4 linked regions of the Drosophila melanogaster genome follow. The protein of the gene in region 2 interacts with the protein of the main gene of each other region in a pairwise test. Each region holds a gene or a part of one and is shown on either strand. Other genes may lie near its edges.

What was found.
Region 1: the proteins of CG13928 (region 2) and Dok interact in a two-hybrid assay, tested with the Drosophila melanogaster proteins (one large-scale study listed by BioGRID).
Region 3: the proteins of CG13928 (region 2) and CG10527 interact in a two-hybrid assay, tested with the Drosophila melanogaster proteins (one large-scale study listed by BioGRID).
Region 4: the proteins of CG13928 (region 2) and indra interact in a two-hybrid assay, tested with the Drosophila melanogaster proteins (one large-scale study listed by BioGRID).

Annotation. Positions count from the first base shown.
Region 1 is NC_004354.4:7,322,551-7,330,124, forward strand, and holds Dok (downstream of kinase), read left to right. Parts: upstream 1-1,663; 5' UTR 1,664-2,038; coding exon 2,039-2,122; intron 2,123-2,985; coding exon 2,986-3,303; intron 3,304-3,546; coding exon 3,547-5,013; 3' UTR 5,014-6,256; downstream 6,257-7,574. Other genes in the region: Atg5 (Autophagy-related 5), read right to left, coding at 7-232, 608-713, 796-895, 970-1,122; Acsf3 (Acyl-CoA synthetase family member 3), read left to right, coding at 6,610-6,687, 6,768-6,957, 7,041-7,574.
Region 2 is NT_037436.4:1,625,291-1,631,022, reverse strand, and holds CG13928 (uncharacterized protein), read left to right. Parts: upstream 1-2,645; 5' UTR 2,646-3,073; coding exon 3,074-3,811; 3' UTR 3,812-5,232; downstream 5,233-5,732. Other genes in the region: GC (gamma-glutamyl carboxylase), read left to right, coding at 5,362-5,732.
Region 3 is NT_033778.4:21,069,276-21,074,817, reverse strand, and holds CG10527 (uncharacterized protein), read left to right. Parts: upstream 1-2,028; 5' UTR 2,029-2,083; coding exon 2,084-2,093; intron 2,094-2,922; exon of another isoform or gene 2,923-3,014; coding exon 3,015-3,416; exon of another isoform or gene 3,417-3,757; coding exon 3,758-4,236; 3' UTR 4,237-4,450; downstream 4,451-5,542.
Region 4 is NT_037436.4:1,338,449-1,344,630, forward strand, and holds indra (indra), read right to left. Parts: upstream 3,956-6,182; 5' UTR 3,944-3,955; coding exon 3,924-3,943; exon of another isoform or gene 3,622-3,923; coding exon 3,480-3,621; intron 3,414-3,479; coding exon 1,374-3,413; 3' UTR 1,012-1,373; downstream 1-1,011. Other genes in the region: Hmbs (hydroxymethylbilane synthase), read left to right, coding at 1-722; Ptp61F (protein tyrosine phosphatase 61F), read right to left, coding at 5,880-6,081, 6,178-6,182. UniProt on the Drosophila melanogaster protein: Required for rDNA copy number maintenance and non-random sister chromatid segregation (NRSS) following unequal sister chromatid exchange. Binds ribosomal DNA (rDNA) preferentially binding to intergenic spacers (IGS) regions on both X and Y chromosomes.

The sequences.
Region 1 (7,574 bases), on a different chromosome or scaffold from region 2:
ACTCACATCGTCTGTATAGATTCGCAGGGGAATGTTTTTGAAGGACTCCAAATCGCCATACGGTTCCATTAGCCTCCGATTGACGGCCCAGAACTGATCGAACTTTTCGTTGACCAATCCCAGCCAAAGCTGATTGTGGTCCTTCTTTTGCATAGCGGATATGACCAGGCCGCGGTGCTTAAGCACATCTGCCTCCTTCAGGCAGGACATGTAGTGCGATTCAAGTAGCTCCCTAAGAGTTGCGGATCATCAGTAAAAATTCAGTTGGAACCAACAGTTTGTGTACCCTAGTCGAGGTAACTATGCTATTTTCAAATATTTGAAACGTATTAAAAACCCTATTGTGGTACGTTTATCTTTGTGCGAAGTTGTTAATTCATATTTGGTCCAACTTTTATATGACATTTTCTCTTATAACACGGGATTTGCTTGATGGGCAATTGTTTACCCTGTTATTACTTCGACATCCACGGTGATTGTTCATTGAGACTCGAAAAGGGAAAACTATATATGATTGCAATCCCAAGTTACGACGTGTTAAAGATAAGATTTCGCAAACACGACTGTGGGGTACACAAACTGGTATGGCGATTTCTTTAATAAATACTTGGAGTTGAGCTTGACGAGCATGTCCTCGGGGAACTTGGAGAAGTGAATGGTGAGGCACCAGGGCGTGCTGTCCTCCTCCGGATGCAGCAGATCGTATAGGACACCTAACCAGGATTCAAGACAGTACCATCATTAGTATCAAATGGGCATGCTATGATATCATCATCTCGTTAATGTAAACCCCACCAATTGGATAGTGAAGTCGCAGGGGCGTTCCATTGAAGTCGAACCACACAGCTCCATCCTGGTGTTCGGCGCTTATATAGCGTGAGAAGTACTTGCGAACCTGCCAGGATATGTACGACAGTCATTGGGATCTTATAATTGGTATGGCCATTTCCATTTGAAGCCTTTGTTTACCTTGTCAGTCACCAAAGGCAAGTAGCTGAGTCGCGATATCATCAGATAGAAAGGCTCCGGCTTAATGCCCACGATCTCGTCCCGATCCGCCTGGAAGCATATGCCTATCTGGCCCTCCCAGATCATTCGCAGCACCTCGCGGTCGTGGGCCATGTTCCTTATTTGGCTTTTGTTTTGGCTAAATTATATTTCCTTTTTGCACAATACGATTTGCGATGTTACCAGATGGGTGAAACAATGCTATTTGATAATAGTGATGGCACTTGGCATTCGAAGATGGCAACGCTGAAATATCGCACGCCACTTTGCTGCCAGACTGTTTGATTTATTTTTATTCATAGCTATTTTTTTAAACACACGCGATTAAAATATTTGCTCACAGAAAATATTTTCACCATAAATTTGTAACTTAATATTTCACATAGATATATATATATATATATTTGCATTCAAAATAATATAAAATATCAAAAAAATAATATAACAAGTTTTTCGTATTGATCGAAATGTTGATAACTCCAACAACGCAATTATGAGAAATTAAAATTGCGCGCTAGGAGAGGAAAACATACCAAGATTATAAAAATATGATATTAATTTATTATTTTAGACCTAAGAAATAATTCAACCGCTTTGTTACCAAAAAACCATAAGTTATCGATCGCCATTAGTTATCGATGACGATTGCAGCAGCTGCATGCAACCGTGCAGCGCATAAATAAATAAAGTCGACTTGCCTCTGTGCTCGCTTTTTGGTGATTTTTTTTTGTGCTGCGGCTGCGCTTTTCGAAATTCGAATCTCCGTATTCGCTGTGCGATATGATGTGATGTTTACTATGAAGTGATCAACTAAATGCGACCGCGAAGCTATCGTAAAGCACAGAAAAACGGATGAATTGAAGGAAAACTCCAGAAATCGCATAGCCCAACTCCAGCAACAACAACAACAACAACAATTCGGAATCGGAGGCGCATTGTGTGAGCTAGATCGGCGAAGGAGAGGGAAAGAGAGCAGGAGACGAAGGAGAGTGGGAAGAAGGAGAGGAGAGGTGGAGGAGTGGTGCACAGAATGGATGTTGAAATACCTGTTTTGGCTGGATATCTTAATGTGCCGACCCAAACTGGATTTTCGCTAAATCGCATCTCGAAAAAGGTATGGAAAATCGCCGTATTTCCGCCCTTCTATATAAATATTTCCCCATTTATCAGGGTTTAAAAAGTTACTTTCTGTTTGCAATTATCCTACAAGTGCGTAGTTTTCGATAAATCAAACAGGACCTATGTGTTAATGTGAGTGTGTTATGTGCATGTGTTTCTGTCTGCATACTTGTTGCATACAAATGAGGCCCACTGTGCGAGTGGGAGTGAGACAGCGATACGCGGTAGAGGGAGTGAGCGAGAGAGGGGCCGACTTCATACAGTTAAGGCCATAATATTAGCATATCATTTTTAATAATATTAATATTCCAAGACCAACACAAACCCTTTAATGAATTAAGTGAAACCGTATTTAAAAACAATATATCAGGCAGTAATAATATGATGCTTTTAAGTTAAATTAAAATTCGAATAACATGCTATGCATTGATCCTAATAACTTTACCCCCACTGTTGGAGTTTCAGATGGCACACACAGCTGGCGATTCATGCTACTTCGTGGTATTTGTGTTTATGCGCGACAGGAAATTCTTGAGCCAGCAGAAAACTGGGGAAAAAGGGTGGTGGTGCAGGGGATCGCAGAGAAGGGGCAGAGTGAGGGCGAATAAGTACTTCACGGTTTAGCCCATTATGCTCATACTCTATTTTTATATTTTTTTTTAGCATTATCCAATGCAGGATACTACAAAATCTTAAGACAAATTTGAATTGATTCTGGTTATTTATACACTGCAGTTTCATATGCATATACATATACATATACAATACATCTTCTTCAGTACGTTACTAAGATATAATCGTTTTAAGACATCCAAACCGATTTAATCGAATCCCAATTTTTTCTTTTTTTTTTTGCAGAAAGCATGCAGTCGCTACTGTTTGCTATTCAAGGCCAGTCGGCATGGGATTGCCCGCCTGGAGATGTGCGAAAGCAAGGAGGACCGGAACCCCAAAATCTTCACCCTCGAAAACTGTGTGAAGATCACTCAGGAGCCGCCTCCCGAACGCCTCATTCACATTGTCAAGCGGCAGGCTACCCTAACACTGAGCACAAGTAGCGAGGAGGAGCTCAAGGATTGGATCACCGCCCTGCAAACGGTGGCCTTCTGTGACACCTCACCATCGGGGGGAATCGGGGCCATCGAGGAGGACAACGACCTCTACTGCAGCTCCTTTGTGAGTGATCATCTCTGTATAAGCGAAAACTTTCTGGGGTATTTCGTTATATTTGCGTAATCTTATAGTTGTCAAAAGGGGTATACGATGAATCTAAAGCGTTCTTAAGAAACTAACGTGAAAATGCACCTCCAATTCCATTTTTAGTCTCTGACAATAATTGGCACGTTTAAAATAAGAATATAAAAAAAACCGAACCGCATAAAAAATCCATAATAATCCACACCTTTTATAAATTTGCAGGATGGCTTGTTCATTATCACGTTGATTCCATCCGAGGCCTCCATTCGTTGCTGCATTGAACCTAAGACATATATGCTCCAAATGACGCCCACTGAACTTCAGTTGAAATCGGAGGATTTGGGCGCCACAATCGCCATGTGGCCATATCGTTTCATTAGGAAGTACGGCTATCGCGATGGCAAGTTCACCTTTGAGGCGGGCAGAAAATGCACCACCGGCGAAGGCGTTTTCACCCTGGATCACACCAATCCACAGGAGGTATTCCGCTGCATGTCCGCCAAGATGAAGTCGATGAAGAAACTGATTAGCGGCGATAGTCTGAGCACCTTGGAGTGCGGTGAGAATCAGTTTAGTGCGGCAGCTGGCATGGAGCCCGGTTCGCGAAGCCCACTGCCACCATCACCGTCGAGTAATCCCCACGGTGGCGAGTTCGAGATCAACTCAACGCAAAGCTGCATATCCCTGAGGGGCTTCATTAGCTCTAACGATTCTCTTAATAACTTCTCGGCGGGTGGAGGTGGAGCAAGTGGCGCCACAGCAACGGGTGGAGGCGTTTTAGGAAGTACCGGAGGAATCACGCTATCCGTGCCCGCAAATAGCAATAGCAACAGCAGCAGCAGCAAACACATTCCCAACAAACCGCCACGCAAAAGCCCGACAACCCATTGTGATAAATACAGGAATATTGTGAAATATGAACCTGTGGCCATAACTACGATATCTTCGCCATCCGCCAATTCCGATGTGAACAGTTCAGTGATACTGAAACCCCTGGAAGGCGAATCGATATCCCTGCCGGAAACAGCAGCCGATTTACCGCCCGACTTGCCGCTGCGAAATGAGAGCGCCTCGAAAGCACCGCCTCCGGAGCGGGATTACGAGTGCATCGAAAATATCACAGAGGCGTGGCGCACAAGGGGCGTGGGCGATGTTAGGCACAGTGAACGTATGCCCATACTCTGCGATACCTCAGAATTTGTACGCCAGCGATCAGTATCGAAATCCACCTGTGGCAGCCAAAATACACCCAAGATCATAGACATCGATATCGGTGAGGGTTGCACTAGCGCCACATCCATTAGTGAATCGAATTACGATCGTTTAGACTTTCTATCGCCGAACAATAAGACATCGAGTGGCTATAAGACCATTGTGAATGTCACACCCGGTAATCGCATACGATGCAGTCCACCGCCACCCAATGAATACGAATTGATCGCTAGTCCCGATACGGAAAGCTTCCGTAAAGCCGATGACAGTCATCGCGGTTACGGGGTGCTGCGAAAGGCTAGCACCACTACGAACAATAATAATCTAGGAATCTCCAATAGCAATATCAGCGGCGGTAGTAGCACCATCACAACTGCAACGGCCAACAAAGGCGGCAATCTCGAGGCGGCAGCCATCGATCATCGCAGCTATAATGGCCTCAACTACACAATGGTCAGCAAACCGAAGCGAGTGTAAAATATTTAAGGATTTCAGATCCGATAGCAAGGATCCAGAGATCCTGGCATCGAACTGGGTGCAGTGGGGTTTTGGGGTGGATCGGGAGGAGATAGTCCTAGTTTTTATTTGTCCCAGAACTGTTGCTGTTTTCAATTTAATTCAACACAACTTGTTGACATGTTAATTTGGATTTTCCCAGTAGTCAAATTCATGACTATTTCGTTATTGGACGACGCCAGATGAATAAGCTTGTGTGCTTTTCGCGATACATTTTAAGTGTTGCGATAACAAATGTAAATGTATGTTCAAAAAAATTTAAAAAACAAAATTGAAAACAGTAACGTGCCAGTAACTTTTTACATAATTTCATACATTTTGAGTATAAGTGAAAAAGAAGAGACTGCCGAGTGCCTTACAGTTCTACAAAAAGAAAGAAATTCCTGGCTGGAAATCGAGGGAAGGAAGTGCGTCGAATCTCTAAATCCCAGAATTTGTCCTTCCCTTTGCCAAGCCAAAAACAAATACCATTCGAATCGTTCAATTTTTTTTTTTTTTGTAATTGTTTTTCGTTAATTATGTTAAATTCGTAATCTGTGATTGTATTGTTAATTGTGAAACTGTTACATTTTTAGCAAGCACTGCCCGCCACTTGATGATCGCACTCGAAAAATTCCCCCGGCTCTTACTTAAAATGTAGTGTTAAATTAAAGCAAGAGAAAAATGAAACTCAATCGAATCATGGACGTAACGAAAATTTACAAAATGTGTATGCGATTTATGCTAAATATATGTGTTTTTGTATATTTAAAGGAACTAGATTTTAAATACACTGCAATTGTACTTGTTTCCGTTTATCCGTCCGTCTTCTCAAGGTTTTGATGCCATATAAATCGGTTATTCGAATTGTTATTCCTATACGTTTTTGTATGATAGATCATATAGCTGCCATAGGAACAAACGGTGTAATGCCATTATCTCAAAAATCACCCAAAATAGTTGACTCTTATTTTTTTTTTTTTTGCTCAATCTTAGACTGTAAATATACAATAGGTTTCTTAAGTGTTGTTTTCGATTGCACCTCCTCTCAATAACCCAAATAAGAAACCCGCCCCATCGTTACCCCATGCACGTTCGAGTTCTCAAGCCAGGATTGTTGTAAACGACAGTTTTGAGTATTATGCAAAGGTCACAAAAAAAAAAAAAAAAAATTTATATAAATTAAAACGAACAAACGAAGGCGAACACAAATAAGAAAAATACCAAAAGAAAAATAGTGACGTTCATTTTACTTGAAATATATCATCTTTTTTTTTTTACTTACCTTACGTTTACGATTATGACTATTGTAGTTATTAATTTTTGTGTCTGCAAACTATTATTGTGTAAATAAAGACCAACAAAAAATCAAACAAATCGAATTGAACGACTTTCATTTGTGTCCACTCAAGTATGTCATGTTACGAATCTCAGAATCGTTTTGGCTTTTCAAGCGATAGCAACTGAAAATCTGAGTTAAATTTTGCTCTTTGTACTATTATTTAAAATAGCTGCATTCGCGCACACACCATCAAATAATCCATAAAAAAAAAAAAAAAACAAAAAAAAAACAGTAAGATGCTGCTACTTCGCCGTTGCCACAAGTTAAAGTTGCGTCCATTGGCCCGTCTTTGCTCCGCCGAATTGATACATAAGGTAATATATATAGGTAGATATATATATATATATAATATTTATGTAATTGCAATTCCACAATTTCTATTTAATGTTTGCAGGATGGCTTCATCGAGAAGCTGCGCCATAGTTTCGATGAAGAGGAGCGTAGTAATGTGGTGGTGCCCACGTTCAAAAAGGCTATGCTCTATCCGGATGAGATCGCCGTGAAAGACATCAATGGGGAGTACACTTATTTTCAATTGTATATGGCCGCCAAACGTCTGGGCATTCAGATCTCAAATATATGTGGTAAGTGACAAACCATTTTTCCGGACGTTCAATTTATTTACGGTTCAATTTCAAAAAGTTTGCAAATTCTTCTCTTTTTTCAGGCGGCGCCGCGCTTTCGAATGTAACATACTTGTGCTCGAACAACGCCCTGTGGATAGCTATACAATGGAGCTGTTGGATTTCCGGACAAGTGGCAGTTCCACTGGAATCCGGCCAGGCGATAGATCAATTGCAACGGCAGGCATCGAACTGCAAGACCAAGCTACTGATAGCCACTAAGGAATTTGAGTCACTTGCCCAGGAATTGTCGCAGGGTGTGAAATCAGCTACCATCATATTGGATCACTCATTTCTCCCGACGGCGGAGAGTGTATCCTCGACATCGATGTATGCCAAACAGCTGGTGGCGATCCAGGGTGTTATCGTAACGGAAAATACGTTTCCAAACGATTTCTATTCCAAGGCACCAGCCATGCTGATCTATACGCCCAATGCGGTCAATAGTCCCAAGCCAGTGTTGTTGACCCATCGGAATATCGAAGCTCAGATGCGATGTTTGATCGGAACTTGGCATTTGGGACCTACAGACTGTATGCTGCCAATACTATCCATGAATCGAATGCATGCCGCCTTGG
Region 2 (5,732 bases):
ACGTTTAATGTATTAACTAATTGATTCTACAAGCGCCTGCCCAAAGTGCTTTGCCTACCAACACATTGGGGCACGAACAAAATCGAAATTAATTAGAGAAAAAACCAAAGATTAATGGCGAAAACGAAATCGAAATCCAATTCCAAATCCGAATGCAGGTATTTTTAGCAATATTCGTAGCGTGTACAATATGTCGCCCTTAAAGCTTATTAGAATCAATCTCGTTCAATGTCCATCTCAACTCACCCAGGCACTTCACATGCATATAACCATTAACAGATATAAATCAATATATGTATGTAATAACCAATGACAAATGTTTAGAAGAGTTTCGATTTTTGTTTGGATTTTAAGCAGACCCGAAAAGAAAACAATTGTATACACAGAAACAACACCCATGAAGCCCCTGAGTACGGAGAGCCCACTGGAGCTCCTGGCATCGCATTGCGATTTCCCGGAGTCCTTTTGGGCGGCGGAGTAATTCCGAAGTAATTCCCGTCTACCAAGACGGACACACAAAACAAAGAAAAACTCTATAAGAATCCCCGAAAGCAACAGACGGCTAATGAGAGTATATATATATATGAACCGTATATAAACAATAATATTACTAATTAATTTAATGATTAATTGCACCCCGAAAATACATAATTATTTAAATAAATAAATAAAAACAAAACCAACGTGTTTTCTAAAGCTGGGTAAGCATATTGATTGAAGTAGGTGGGTATTTAAATGAAAACAATAACTTCATTGTTTTAAATATTAATTATGTGGAAATTTCCCAATGCTGACATGTTCTCCAAGCTCGTGAACCAGATTAACTCCCAAATTGGGCGACAAAGGATGCGCTGCCTAAAAATAGGAGCACACAAAAAGTGTAGCATACTATCCAGCGCACTAAACTGCGCACTTGGTCTGCATACATAAATACCAATTGGGGCGCAGACAGCGTGCAAACAGGGTAATGGAAATAGAAACCCGTCTGCGGTGGGGAGCCTACGCTTATGTCAGACAAGTGGGGGAGCACCAGGCGCCTATTTACCACACACACACACACACTTGCCACACCTGATTAAAATCTATTGACAATGCAGGCGACGCGAAATTGGAGCGGCGCTAACAAGGCTCCACAAAGGAATCGATGGCCCCTGCGACGGAACAGGACCAAAGCCGCCCGGCAACCAGCACTTAATGAAACCCAATTACCGCAGGTGTCCGCCAGGCAAATCCTGGCGGCGGATGGCAAACAATAACAGCTGCTGCCGCAGCACCTGCAAATTTTATTTGCATTTTCCTGCCATTCTAACACCTCCCAACTTTTTCCCAGGGGTATATTGGTTTCTATTAGAAACTTGCTATTCAAATAGTTGGTGTTCTACAAATTTTATAGATTTAAATTGCGAGTTCCACTCGTATGTATACTTGATATGTGCTAACATATTTAAAAATCGATTTGAAAAATGCATAATTGTAAGTCCCTGCATTCCTGGTAACTCTGAGGTCTCAACTCGCAGTCAACGAAAAATCACTTGTTTATTGTTATCAACTTCGATGCCATTTCCCGGCAAGGACATGCGCAAACACCCCCACTTCCGCCCACATCACTTGGCCATCATCCCCTCTGCGACACCAAGGATTAGGGAAAGGAAAAGCAGAAGGGACACATCTCCGAGTGGAGCAGAGTGGCGTATAAATACCACGCAGCTCGTGCGCACAGCCTCAGTTGGCGGACCGTGTTGCTCGCGATTCCCTTTTCCCAGTCGCTGCGTCCGCAGGTGAGAGTTCATCCGGGAAACGGCCAACTGTTGCCAGTTGCACTCGGCGGGTGGCGCGCTGCAGGGAGCAGTATAACGGCCCCAATTACTGCCCCAACTGCAGCAAATTACGGGTGTGAATTTGATTAATTGCCTTGAAAAGCGATTGTGAGCAGAGCAGAAGTGACTGTAAGCCGGGGATTTGATATAACGACTTGTATGTAAAGTTGACCCCATTTCCGCTTTAATTGGCCATAACAACACAAAGTAAGTAGTGCTCTTCGTACGATTTGTACTATAAGTAAAGTTATTGCTACTTCCGAAAGCATGGTAGTATTTAAAGTATTATTTTGGAATTCTAGTTCCACATTCAAGGACAATCTATCATATACAATACAAATCTTTAGAATATGCGATTTATAATTATACAGCATAAAAGCGATGCCAAACTACAGTAAAAATGTTATGCTAACATATCATATCCAAGATTATATTATGTTTCATCAATCTGGCCAGTTAAATATACAAATGTATAAAATGTGAAAAAAACATATAACCTTAAAATCACTGGTGTAACGGTGTTTCAATCCTTCTACTGCACACACTGCACTTACCCCTATTTCCAACACTGTCGTGCAGAGGAGCCCCAATCGAGTGGCACTGGGGGTGAGTGCTGGCGAGAACAAAACTGGTTGCCAGTCGGGTCGGCGGCTGGTCAATCATATGGCGAGAATAGTGGTTAAAGCCACCCCTGGCGTGGCAGCTTTATCGGGGGTTGCATGTGGTGTTGGGATTGCACGGTGTGCCGAGTGTATCCGATTCCGACTTCTATTCCGAATCCGAATCGGCGGACCTGGTCTCGAATTCGGAAACGCAATCGGTGGCTCGCGCACAGTCAGTCTGCAAACTTCGGAGCGTGCGGTTGTCAAGTTTCGGTCGTCTGCGTGTTTTCTCTTTCCCGATTTCAGCACTCTTCCCGCACACACACACACAGCACTCGCCACACACACACACACACACGGACGCAGACACAGGAAGAAGAGTGAGAGAGGGTGGAGCGGAGAGGAGGCGACTTTCGCTCGAATTTCTCGCTTGTTGTTATTGCTGCTGCCTGCTGCTGTTGCCGTTGTTGCTGTGGCCGTAGTGTATATACCCACTGTGTGACTCCACAGTGTGCGTGTGTTTTTTCCTGAAAGTTCGAATTCTCTTTTTCCGCCTGCTTGAATCAGACTCGGGTTCGGATTCAGAATCGAAATCGATAGTCACCAACCAACTAACCAGCCAGCCAACTAACCAATCAACCAACCAAAGTCACCATGGCCGACAACAATAACTGCCCAAAGTGCAAAAAATCGATCGCCGCCAAGGAGGCCACGAGCATCGGGTGCAGCGGCGAGGACTGCCGGAGAAGGTACCACCGCACGTGCGTCAACATCGACGACGCGGTCTTCGAGGCGATCCAGAAGAACTCGATGATATCCTTTCACTGCGACGAGTGCAAAAACCAGTCGCCACGAGCCTTCGCGGCCAAGCTGCACACCATCGAGGAAAAGGTCAATAAGGTGTGCAACGGGGTCAACCAGATCCAGGGCCGTATGTACCAGCAGTACTTCCAGTTTGGCAACCAGCCGCTTCAGGCATTGGGCGCCTCGGCCGCCGGCGTGGGTGGCGGCGGCCTGGGTGGCGGACTGGACGGGAAGAAGCATCCGCAGCAGAACAACCTCATTGTGGTAGGAAACAATTGTAACTCCGACCGACTGCAAGTGGTCTGCGACTACGGGCGCTGGGTGCAGGTGGGCAAGTTCGCCACGAACACCAGCGAGGAGGACGTGATCGATCACCTGGCCGAGGAGCTGAAGATCAACAAGAACCTGGTCAAGTGCACCAAGCTGGTGAAGAACGATGCCAACCTGTCGCAGTTGTCGTACTGCAAGTTCAAGATCTCCATTCCGGACTACCGCTTCAACGAGCTCTTCAACGAGGCCATCTGGCCCAGCGGCGTGATGGTCAGTCCCTTCACTCCGCGCTCCCAGCTCAACCAGAATCGCCTCTAGAGGAACGGGCCCGGCAGCCGGGAGAGCGGTGACCGGGCGAGGGTGAAGCAGGAGCATAGGACAGGCTGAGCAGGATGAGGAGGATGAGCAGCTGGAGAGCAGGTAGCCAAGGGAGAGAGTGCGCCTGCGCAGGGAGCGGATGAATGATTACGAGCAGCAGCAGCAGGAGGAGGAGGAAGAGGAGGAACTGCATCGCGGCCTGGCAAACAAGGGTTGCTATACGGACTGCAGCACACCGCGGATTCCCCCGAGTGCGCCGACTTGGGCTGATTGATGGAGCAGCAGACGGAGGAGCAACTATGTGCCCCCATTGTATGCTAATTTTCGACACTCGAAAACATTGTCTAGATCTTTAAAAGCTTACAGAACCTATCTAATGGAAAACCAAGAGCATATTTATTGAATTAACTTTGAAAATGCATTTTAAAATGTTTTAGCGTTGCGTAAATAACGAAATGAAATCGATAAAGAAAACCAAAAGTATTTTAATGGCAAACTCACAAGTAAAATAGATGTGAAGCAAAAAATATTAGTCATTTATGCATTACTGTCGTACTTAAATTAAAGTAAACCGAAAACAAAACGAGAAAACTAAGGAAACCAACTAAACGTACTTAAAGAGACACTCACACACACACACACACACACACACACACCGAAAGCGGTTATTCAGGCGCGTATTTAAACCATTTACCAATCAAACATTCAACCCAGTCAATCCAGGCACCGAGGTTCTCCCTTCATCTTCATTTTCCAACTCACTTCCGGGGTGTGGGGATCCTACGGATCGACCAGACCTACGGAGATTCTACTACGACGCGTGTGCGACTACCTATCACATTAAGTACTTAACCGTAACCAATATCAAAACCTATATTCAAGCAGACGACGGCTTATATTGTATTCGTATATGTATGTAGTTTGAGGCATTTTCAAAGCTTGTTCCTGTTCCCAAAGACGTTTGGACATTTTGCGAACCACTGCACAGGACACTGGCCAGCAGCTAGACCCATTCAGATTCAGATCGAAAGTATATATATATATGCATTTGCGTTTTCGACGGCCGGCACTCCCAGTTGGGATGTCCGCCGGCCCGGATGGCAGTTATCACAGTTACCACACACGTTCCACACGGACAGGACTAGAGACGAAACTAGAGGAAACGAAGCTGGGCAAATCCGTTGCAATAATAACTCACTGACCGAGTATAATGGATGTACATTTCGTAATTGATCTATTTTTTTACACCGATCCGACAGCAATATTTTCCGTGGACTCCACGCCAGCGATCCGAACAGAACCGTAGATATTTACGCAAGAGTCAGCAAACGAAATGTAAAACACATATATTATATATTTAGTATACAACAATATGCATGCATGTATTTATGTCAACTTTTTCAATAAATTCTACAAAACTTAAATACCAAACAACCATTCGAGGGGATTGATCTTTGGGTCATCTATGGGCAGATCTGTAAGGATAACGTTTACTATACTTGCAAAGGACGTGTTCTTTCGCATTCTTTACAGATTCAAGATTCAGCAGAATGGCCAACTCCAAGCGAAAGCTGCCCACGAAACCCAGTGCCACAGAGGACGCTACTCCGCACAAAGATACACCTAGGTCGTCGGAAGAATTCCCCACAGATGTAAATCACAAGAGTGCCAAGAAGTCCTTCCTTCCTCAAAACGCATTCTTTCGAGATTGCCTCGGTCACGATCTGAGCAACTTCACTAGCCTGACCAACTTTACCAGCTGGCTAAACAGACCCGTAGATGGAGCTGCCCTGGGCATCTTCCGTCTGCTCTACGGAGCAGCCATGCTGATTGACATCGCAGAGGAGCGAGGTGGCGGCCAGCTGGACGTGCGGTTTCAGGAGCCGCTACACTGCCACTTTCCACTGTTCAACGGGATGCG
Region 3 (5,542 bases), on a different chromosome or scaffold from region 2:
GCGGAAATGTTAATTGAATCGAGTTAATGTATTTCACCAATGAAAATATCTCTTAATTGAATGGCAAGCATGGCAATTGATGGCCCAGCATTCCAGAGGTCACTGTGTTATGCAAACTGAGCAATAAAACTAAATGGGAAAGTGTAAACAGATTAAACTTGTTTCGCCAGTTTATCTGAGCAGAATTTTTGGGGGCTCGTCAATGGGAAAAGTGCATTCTGTTGAAAAGTTATCTGAAAGATTAGATATAAATGATGAAATATTTTGACGGCATGCGTTTTATACTTATTAAGGTTAAACTTCAGACGCCTGACTCATAACAAACGAAACAAAGAACAAACTACAACAATGTTTCGCCTAGAGCCTTTAAAAATATTTAAGAAGCCATTTTCCATGCTTCTACTGAACTGACCCAAACAACACGAGTGTAACCTCTTTGTAAAATGATCTAGTACTACGCCACAGTTAAGAACAAATTAAGTCCTTTCCTGAGCAGTGCATTGTTTGTTTACTCGTCTGTCGTCGTGCACAGTATGTGTGTATGTATGTTTATATATTTTTGGCTGTGTGTTCAGCTGTCTCCGTTATAAATACACCAAGTTGCACGGCGTGAGCAATTGATCTACTCTTATCACAAGACAATTTGGCACGGCCACCGGCAGCTGGGAACACAAATAACAATTTGTTTATTTTAGACAATATTACTTCGTGGGGATTTCTGCGCATGCACGTTGTTTCGATATAAATGTAAAAAAAAGTGCGACCAACCGGCGAGACGAAAGAAAACCGACTGACATTGAGAGGCCAAGAAATAAGCAGTGGTGACGTAAAGAAAGATAATCCCGCTTCCGTCACAGGACGGATAAAAAAGCATGGTAAAAAAAAACAGTCTTACCATTTGGCACTCAATTAGAGGGTGACCCCAAAAGTATGCTACCATATGCTGCAACTATACTTTTTTAAATCTACTTCGGCAGCGCAATAAATAAATGATGACCCAATGGGTAATCTTATTATTATTGTTGTCTAGAGTCTAGCACATTATGTCAGCATCAACCATTTTGGACCCTTGCGGTGAAATCATTGACAGTAGCTTTTGATGCCCTGGTTTGGATATCCATGTGACCGCACAATATAAAAGCGGCACATGACGCCAAAATAAGTGACGACACTACTAACGGCAAACGAAGGCGAAACACAAGTTGATCGAATAGAATGTACCCTAGCTGAAATGAAAGTTAATCATATATTTTAGAAGCATTGGAACATCATAGAGTATAGAAGTAAGTCTCTTATACTCAAGAAATTCATTATTTTAAGATCAACCAATTCTTTTAACCAATTTATAGCTCATTATTTAATAGATTTTTTTAGGGCCTTCCTTTTTTGGAATAGGTCACATCATTAAGTGCCTTGCATACTAATTGTACACCTTGCATACAGTAGTAAATAGTAAATATTTATTCGCATAGCGATATGAAAATTATCATGCCCATAGAAAAAGCATTTTAGCAATAAAAGCTTGCTTATGGTTCTGATGACTAAGCAGCAGCTTTTGCCAACCTGAGTCATAGACCTCTTAAGCAAAACTAGGTGACAAAACTACCTTAGTTATACCGAAGCTTACATGCCCTTACCACGAGGTGAAAGTCCAGGGAACAAAAAGTTAAAAAGGAAATTACAATTATCTAATATTGTGCCCATGTACAAAATAGTTATATGTACATTTGTAAGTAAAGAAATTTTTTTTAAAGCTATGCCATTATGCTAGAAATTATCAGCCTTTAATTAAGATTTACATTTAAGAAAAATAATTGCCTTTAAAATAATTAAAGATAAGCCTTAGCATGTGCAGTATACCGCTATGTGAATAAGTTAGCTATTCGAGCTGGTACAGTTCGAATACTTTCTATATGGCCAACGATCTCCCACTTTGCAAGTGAGAGCGCCAAAGCTCTTGGAGCTTTTACTCTCTCACCGTCTCGGTTTTTTAGCATTGCTTACCTCGCCGGCATTTGGGCTCCATTGGGGCAGTTTGAATCAGAATCTCAGTAAGCGAACATCGTTGATTGAAACAGCAATCATGCCAATCGGTGAGTTTCCCAGTGGGTGTGGGTGGAGTGCCCTGAGCAGTTGGATAATGGAATGGATAATTGGGTGAATTTAAAGATAGGGAAATGTGCGGCGGAATTTTTGGCCCACGACCAAAATAGCATTGTGTCGTCCAATTCCTAGAATCGAAACATCCCATTCTTTATCTATGCTGGGTTTTTACCAGTGAAAAATACAAGCGACTTTCACCTTGTGATCGTCCAGATTCAATTAACGGCAATATGCTATACATATTGGACTGCCTTTATTTGGCCTAATTTATGACCCATCGAATTGATTCTCGACCAAAGGTGTCCGAAATTGTTCACCATATGCGATGAGTCACTGGTCTTCGCCTTGAACTCCGACAATAATCAATAGGAATTCAGCAGGGTTGACCCTAGGGAGGTCAGACGAAAGATGCACCTCCAATGATGTCATGCGAAATAATGCTGCTTGAGAAACCATTCGTGTAATCTATTCAAAGTGAATAGCACAAACCTCGCATATATCTGGGCAAATGTTTGTCGCTCGAGTGGCAGTAGAGCCGGCTCAGAGCTCAAAACTCGAAATTAAGCTTGAGTGGAATTAGCTAGAACAATTTGTTGCGAAGAACTGATGGCGATCTAAATGACATCATGCGAATGGTGCTAATAAGCAAGCGAAAACAAAAACAGACGCTAAACATGCTGATATATGTATGTTTATATGTACGTAGAAACCTAACAAACATAAAAATAGCTACGAATTCTTTCCAGTTCAAGTATTTTTTATGACAACATTCTCATGTTTGAGGTTGTTAATTCAAACCTCAAAACTTTCCCACCTTTCAAAGTAGTAGTGGGTACAGTTGGCTCAGAAAAACGTAGCCGAGTGTACAGTTGCCTCTGAGAATTTGTACTAATATGCCATCTCATTTGCAGAAGTCAACACCCCCGATAAGTTGGAGTACCAATTCTTCCCCGCCAGCGGTGGAGTTTTTACCTTCAAGGTGCGTTCCCCCAAGGATGCTCATTTGGCACTCACACCCGCGCCCGAGGAGAACGGTCCCATTTTCGAGATCTTTCTGGGAGGATGGGAGAACACCAAGTCGGTGATCCGCAAGGACCGCCAGAAGCCCGAAGTCGCTGAGGTGCCCACTCCGGGCATCCTAGATGCCGGAGAGTTCCGTGGCTTCTGGGTGCGCTGGTACGACAATGTCATCACCGTTGGCCGCGAAGGAGACGCCGCCGCCTTCCTTTCCTACGATGCTGGTAGCCTGTTCCCGGTCAACTTCGTCGGCATCTGCACGGGATGGGGTGCCAGCGGCACCTGGCTGATTGATGGTGAGTTTACACTCTGTTCCACGCCTTTTCTATCAAACGGAAAGCACAGGTGTTTACCCTCTCTGATTAGTTTACCCATCGTAATGATCTAAGTTAGCTATTGTTCTACAGCTGCTCAATGGCATCTATTGTCTAGTCAGCTGCTTCAGTTTGAATATCGAGTATTACTATACCCGCTACTCGTAGAGTTGGTACTATTGAGTACTGATCAATAACACTTAATTGCTCTCCAAGACTATATCCTTGCTATAAATATGTATTTGCCTATTATATATACATATATGTATAAGATTTGCTAATGATTTCATGAATTTCTAACAAATGCCACTATTTCCTTGCAGAGCCCGCTCCATCGGCTCCCGTCATGGGCTTCGCCGCGCCCACAGGAAGCGGACCAGGATGCTGGGTGCCCGCCGCCAACGGTGAGGTGCCACCCAACGCCCTCGAGGGAGGATTCGACAGCAGCGAGCAGCTGTACATCGCCCGTGCCCGCCATGAGGGCGACCTCATTCCCGGCAAGCTGCATCCCTCCCACGGAGTGACCTACGTAGCCTGGGGAGGTGGTGAGCACGGCCACGCCGAATACGAGGTGCTGTGCGCCGGCGGCGGCCAGTGGTTGCCCGTGGATGCCGGAAACATCCCGCCCAACGCCCTGCCTGCCGGAGAGACCGCCGAGGGCGAACCACTGTTCATCGGCCGTGCCACCCACGACGGAACTATCACTGTGGGCAAGGTGCAGCCCTCCCACGGATGCTGCTACATTCCGTACGGCGGCGAGGAGCTGGCCTACAAGGAGTTCGAAATCTATGTGACCAACTAAGCCACGGATCGAATGTCCAACGCACTGAAACAAAACGTTTTAAATCAGTTAATCTGAGCGCTTTACAGTTCAACTGGTCGCAGAAATTTTATTTTATTTATATGTGCATTTCTACTCAAAACTGTTAAAGAATCTCTATATTATGTCGAAAAGTTTATTACATTGTTCAACGAAATTGGTTAATAAACAATAAATATGTTTAAGAAAATAACATATCTGAAATAGGCACTTATTTGCATTCATTAAGCTTGGAAATAAATATAAAATAAGCTGAATAGCTGCTTTAATTTTTCAAAAAAGTGGTGTGTTAAGATTAGTTGGATTTTGGTTTTAGTGAATCTAACAGTTCTATCGCAATCATTAATCACCTTTTAATCCATTTGTACTCAATGAAATTAGTATCAAACATTCTTTTTTTTTAATAAAATCATGACTGAAATGAAATGACTGAAATCTATAGATTAGTTTAAGCAGGCAATTGAAAATAATTTACTCCCACTCAATGAAAATCTATTCCTAATCTCATTATCAGTGAACCCATAAAACACTCATACAAAGTTAGTTGAAATGTTGGCAGTACAAGGAACATATTGCTATATATATATATATTTATACCAAAACATGTTTTCTTTTATTCATTTTTAAAATGAATGAAACATATCATATTGGCCTATTTACATTTAAATTAAGGGTATAACTGAGTCGGTTTAGTCTATCAACTATATTAAAGTCAGTAACCAGCATGTGAAGTTTTTAGGTCAGCAACTAACCTTTTTATGTTTCTTTGAACACCTGGCTTTGAAATGGCTTTAAAATAATAAAAGTATCATATTTACAGACCCAAAAATACCCTTCTGCCAATGTGAAGCTTATAAAATATAATAGTCTATATTAAATTGGTCTCATTGATTAGAGGTAATAATGTTTGGACACAAGCTTAAGATACTTATCAACTTAAAATTCGATCCAAAATATTAAAGGACAAAGTATTCATGTTCCTATTAAACCTAATATGCCTTGATTACTTAAGTTTGCCAAATATCACAAACATTTTAAATGTTGAAGTACCTCTTGAGAAAATTTACAACTTAAGGGATAGTAAACAAAAAATGAATCTGTACTTGAGATACAAATACCGGTCGCTAGTATAAATATTACAATTCAAAGCACGCGACGAAGACCCAATAAATTAGTCCGACAATTGGAGTGGAGTAGCCGACACAGCTGATAAAGATAATGGTATTGATAAGATCGGTGCGGAAGGGTATAAATACCTAGATGGAACAAGAAGTAATAAGCATTTCGT
Region 4 (6,182 bases), 290 kb from region 2:
CCCGTCAGTGCCCTCTTCGCTTGGTGGGCGGTCAGGAAGTGATGGGCCAGTGCCCAGTGCCGCACAATCAGGCAATGGTTCCTGCCAAATGTCCAGTAGCGCATGCAGACTCTGGGGATTCCTTCAGCGCCAAGAGTGGAAGTGGAGGGGAATCGGCCACCACTGCTCACTGTCCACTACAGATGCCCGTGGGACAGGACTTCATGGGCGAATGTCCGTACGTTAACAACGATGTGAAGGTATCCTTTGCCCAAGCTGGAAAGTGTCCAGTGACTGGCGGTGTGGCAGGAGCATCAGCTTCTATTTTGCCCACGCCACCGAGCAGCAGAGCCAGTAATGCCAGCAGCGCTGGCGATGAAGTGGATAATGTTGCAACTTCCTCCAAGTGTCCCTTTGCGGCCATGCATCAGGGCAGCGGTCTTGAGGCGCCGGCTAAGGACAACGGAAACGCAGCCACAGCCAAGTGCCCGTTCCTGCAGAAAACGGTCCAAATGTTCGACTACGCCGACGAGGAGCAGCCGACGCCGCAGCACTCGGTGCTCATTGAGGATGTGGAAAACCTGTTCTGCGGTCTCTACCAGCACGCCTGTCACAGTCGGGGCATCTACGAGAAGGCCAACCAGCTGGGCAAGACGCTGGCGGAGGACCTGATCAAGCGCGGCGCCCTCGACGTGATGAAGGTGGCCCAGGCAGAGATTCACGGCAAAGTGGCGTCGTCTTGAGCCCGTCATCAATATCATCGTTTACATTAAGTAGAAAAGTGTAACTAGACAAAATGTTTTTCATTTCCGCCTCGTTGTTGAACTCCCGTGGAGAACTCATGCTTCCCCTGATTTAACATCGGTATTGTATTCAATCCTTCTGCTCTCCCCGGCGAATGCATCGTTAATGGTTGGTTTCCGCGTAAACGTTATTTTAGTTTTGTTTTTGTTTCGGGAATATGACAAATAAATGTATAAGTGAACTCATATTGTGTCATTTTTTCTCTCCACTGATTGAAACAAGCAATTTCGTAGCTTTTTGCCATTTTTTATTAACAGTTCATCGCTCAGTACAAATATGTTTATTACATTCAAGCTAATTTATATACTCTTGGTGAGTACAAGTGGTGTAACCAATGCGGTTATAATAAAGTCTTAATATACAAATTAAACTTATCTTTTGAATTGAACTTAATAATAGTTAAAAATGTATGAAGTAACCTTGTTATAAATTGCAGTTTTCATCGACTTTTATCAACTTTATATAGACCCTTTCAAAGTTAGCCATTGAAAATTCAAAGAATTATACTTAACATAGCAATAAGCTAACGTAAAACTACATTGGTCAAGAGAATGAAATGAAAAACAAAAATAAAAGGGAGTCTAGTGCAACTAGTGGCGCTTGCGCAGGTGCGAGGATAGGAAGTTGGCCTCCGTGAAGACCTTCTTGCAATTGGCTACGCCGCATGGAAGTCCACCTTCGGAACCACAGTTCGAGAAGTGAGCCACGTAATCCATTTGGTTCTGGTAGACTTCCTTGCATAGGGTGCACTGTAGTTTGGCGGCGTGCTTTTTCTCCATGTGCGAGTCCAAGCGTTGACGCGATTTGACGAACTTCCCGCACCGGTCGCAGCTGAGGGTCGACTCGTCGGCTGTTGAGTCACCAATGGACTCCAGGCGAGCCTTTTTGTGCGGCCGCACGTTGTAGTTGATTTCTTCCACTATGTCTACATCAGATGAGGGGAGCGTGTCCTCAGATTTGTCTTGTTTTTTTCGTTTTTCTGACTTTGCAGGCGAATTGCCATTGGTTGTGGACACAGACAGATCTACGTGACTGGTCTTCTTTGTCTTTTTAGCTGGCGACCGAGGTGCAATCATGCCTCCATCGACCTGGTGCTGAATGTTGTTCCTGGATCGTATAATCTTTTCTTCTGCGGGTCCTTCATCATCCTCCGCGGTGTTGTCAGTCTTAAAAGCGTCCACAATTTCCACAACCTCATCCTCTTCTTGCAGAATCTTTCGGTTGGTGAACTTTGCGGCTTTAGTAGGGCTTTGTTGTGATTTCTTAGGTCCTTCAACCTTCTCGGCCGTGTTTTCAATCTGAGTCGTACCCAGAATGTCTACGTCCTCATCCTCGTCCTGCAGAATCTTTCGCTTGCTGGAGTTCGGCGCTTCAGCACCGTCGGCATGTAGAGTCATGTGCGTTTTCAGCGACTGTTTGGTAGCCAAACTCTTCTCGCAGACGTGGCACTTGAAAACCTTTGGCTTGTCGATGCTGTGGACGGTCTTCATGTGCTCCTGCATCTGCTTGGCGGTCATCAGCTCACAGTCGCAGATCTCGCACTGAAAATTATTCGAATCCGCCCTGGGAGTGGAGGCGCTGGATCCATTGATGGCAAATGTATATTCCGAGTCGATCACGTTCTCTAACATCCTTTTCTTCATTAATGACTCATTTAGCGCTTTAAAGGAGGCGATTTTGGTAGCCTGGGTCTGGTCTGCGTCCTCACTATCTGTGCCCTTTTTGTTGTTCACTTGGTCGTCGATTTCGTCAACCACTTTGGTTTCAACATTACATTTGATCTCTGTCTTTTTCTCTTTGGACTTTTTTTCTTTTGGCTTCTTCCTTTGACTCACAGCATTGGTCTCCTTTGCCTTTGCGTCAATTTTATTCTTGGCCCCTGACTTAGCCTCTTTTTCCTTGCTTTCCTTCGCCTTAGTCTTAGCCTCGCTTTCAAAAGTGCGTGAGTGAGTGTCCCTTAAATGATTTTTCAAAGTCTTAAGCACTCCAAAAGTCTTAATACACAAGGTACAGGGGTATATGCGTGGTCTTTGAAGACCGTGCTCCTTCTGCAGATGCTCCTTGTACGGTTTGGGAAACTTTGCGTGAAATTCGCACTCTGGACACTGAAAGTTATTTGTGTTAATGGTGATAGGACCTTTATCCGAGTCCTCCTCTTCCTCGCTCTCGGTCAGTACTTCGATGGCATCGTTGCCGCCGTTGCCAAAGAGATTAAGGAAAGCCTTTTTAGTAGACGACACCTCTTTGGCGGGCGTCAGCTTAACCGAATCGTTAAGATTATCCTCGAAGAGTCGAGATATCTGCTTTTTAGGGGTCTTATCGAGTTTCTTGGGCGAAGCACTAATGATCTCGATTTCTGTATTAGTATTAGCTCCATTCACAAAGCTTGGCGGGAAAGCTGCTATGGACTTGCTGCGCTGACGGAGGGTGGTGTTCTTTTTTGGCACCTTAACCGCCTTCTTATCGCTTTCCTGTGTCGATGGCTCCTCTATTTCCGCTACCTTAGTCTTCTTGGCGGGCTGCTCCTGTACCCTGTCCACCGTCTCGCGGACCTTCTCGATTAGTGCCGCGCTGGACATGAATGTGGAGGTGCAGACGAAGCATATCTTGATGGGCAAGGATGATGGGATCTGAAATGGGATGGGATGATTTAGATGACGAGAAGGGAAATCAGAATGCCGCCATTTCCAACTCACGCTTCTGTGGGTGATGGTCTCCAGTACGTCTGTTATTTTCCTGCCCAGGAACACCTTCTGACCTGAAAAAACACTCTTGGACCCTTGGCTTGTGCCGCAATGGTCGCATCGCACCTCTTTTTGCACCTTGGTCATATTTTCACTAAGTTTTCCAGCAAAAACAAAAACAGAAATCAAACAACGTGCGCACGTTTTTTTTTTTGCGGGGCTACAGTTACCAAACACTGCTATCTATGTTAATCAACTGCAGTGCTGCCAGACCGAGTCACCAAAATATACCACATAGTGTGCTTATATATTATGGTTGCACGTTAAAAGAAGCAACTGCAGAACGTTCGCAGAACGAATCTTAATCTTAATAATTTTTGCATCAAATTTAGAAAGAGTGTAGAAAACAGTTTTTAAACTACCTATAATGGCAGTAGCAACTTTAAAAAATATTACCAAAGCAGTATATTGCGCATTCCGGTCACACTAAGTTACATTAACATTCTGTTAATGCTCACGTCGCGTTATGCAACAGCTTTGCGTGTCGATATATAATCGATAACTCTGAACTTGGTTTCCAATTTAAAAATAGTTTATTTAGGCATTAGAAGCTACAGTAATGCAAAATGATATGTTTAGTTTGTTTCTTTGTGTTGGTGCTGACCTGGATGGGCTGTGCCGTTACTTTGTCTTGGATTTTTTGAGTCGGTTCCCGCGCCTGCAAACAAAGAGATGAAAAATGTTATGAATGACAAGGACATGGCAAGGGAATGCGCCAGGATCAAGCGGTTCGCAGTTTTCATGTCTTAAACGTATAGCTTTATTTGAATACTTTCTCTGCTCCTCCTTTCTCTTTCTCTCATAGGCATAATATTGTATAGTACTGTGTTGTGTTGGATTTGTTTCAGTGTACGGTTGGTGTACTTAGCCGACGTTTAGTTAACTAGGCATTACTAGGTATTGTTCATGTTGTTTCTGTTAAATATACTTAATATAAATATGTATTTCCTTTATTTGTTATCCTCCTGGGCCCATCCGATTTCATATGGATTCATAGTGCCTCGCTTTCGGGGGTGGTTACTTGAATTTTGTTAAAGTGTGGGTTACACATATAAAAAATATTTGCGTCCTCTCACGCTACACGTTTATATAAATATGTTTCTTGGGATTGGGACTGCACACTTACTCTACTGGAAAAACCATTGAATAGTCTTTCGCCTTCTTCGTTCTCTCGTTCTAATACAAAATGGTTTCGCTATGGCAAAACCTGGATTATAATTAAATCATACACCTATACTTCGCTTAGCGACTTAGTAAACCGATTTTAGTTTAATTTGATTTGCAACTAGCCACGTGCAACTAGTCCACGGTCACAATTTGAAAAAAGAATCACTTTATTTTGATTTCAGATCGATCGGGGGCGAGTGTGCGAAATGAACAATTTTGATTATAACACTCCTTAAAAGCGTTAAACGAGATATAGGTGTACATCGAGCTGTTTTGTTTAACCGTAAGTTATTGCTTTAATGGCGCTGAATTTCGATTCATTAATAAAGTGCTCGTTTAAGGGGGGACAGGGTCTTTAATTTTAAACACAACAATTCAAAGTTAGTGGTAGTGGTAGGCGGGAGGCAAAGTAAAATTAAGAGTCGTTTAGGACACTTCGTACAATTCTCCGATTCGGTTCTTTTTGGCACATTGCTGCACTTTATATTTTGCCATGTACTACAACAAGTGGTGGTTTCTCATAATCTTCATAAATAAATATACATAGGTCGTATGCTATAAGAAATTGCTGTACAACAACAAGTGAAGCGTGTAGTGGGTGGTTGTCGGGTGCTTGAAACATTGGTAGTTATGATATTCTTAATATTTTAAGCATAGCGAGCAAGTAGGGTGAGCTTTGCATTTGGTATGGCTCGTTTGGGGCATCTGGTCGGTTATCAATCCATTTTTAGAGTGTAGAAAATAAATTTGATCTAAAATGTCAGTCTATTGCGCAAAATCTACATTTGACGTGATTTCTACCCGATTTTCGTTAGTTTAGTTTAGTTGCTTCTTTTCTTTCATTTGTTTCTTTTGTTTTCCTTCTTGTATTTCGTATATAAAAAATTCCCTAATATTTATGCATCTTGTATCGTTCGTTCAGCTCAATCAATCCGCCATCCGCAATTCGTGTGCGATTGCATGGCGTTGCGATGCGATTCCGTCCGATCTCTGATCCTTTCCGATCCGTTGCACGTCGTCCTTGATTCGTTGCCCGCATTAGATGCCGGGTCAGGCGGACGAGCAGGTGGGGATCGGAAGTCGGAAATCGGGTATCAGGGGAGGAATCGGTCTCCTACGGCAACTAAATACGTCATACAGCTATTGCTACTACTGATCTACGACTACTTAGTGGCTACGGGGCACTTAACCTAGCTTCGTGTATGCGTAGGCGCAGATCACGCCCACCACAACACCAGCGGCAATATATGTGAGTAATGACCTTCGTTTCTTTGCCGCCAGCTGTTTGTCCTCGTTCTCCCGCTGCTTCCGCTTCATGTCGTTGACCTTCTGCTCCAGGCTGGCCTGGTATTCGTTGCGTTTTCGCCGCTTCAGCTCGTTCTCGGGACTGAAAAGTACGAATTTGGAAGGGGATTAGAGGGATTTTTGTTTGACTAGGCGGTTGAAAAATAGATACTGAGCAGATCTAAGACTAGATTCTTACCTGGC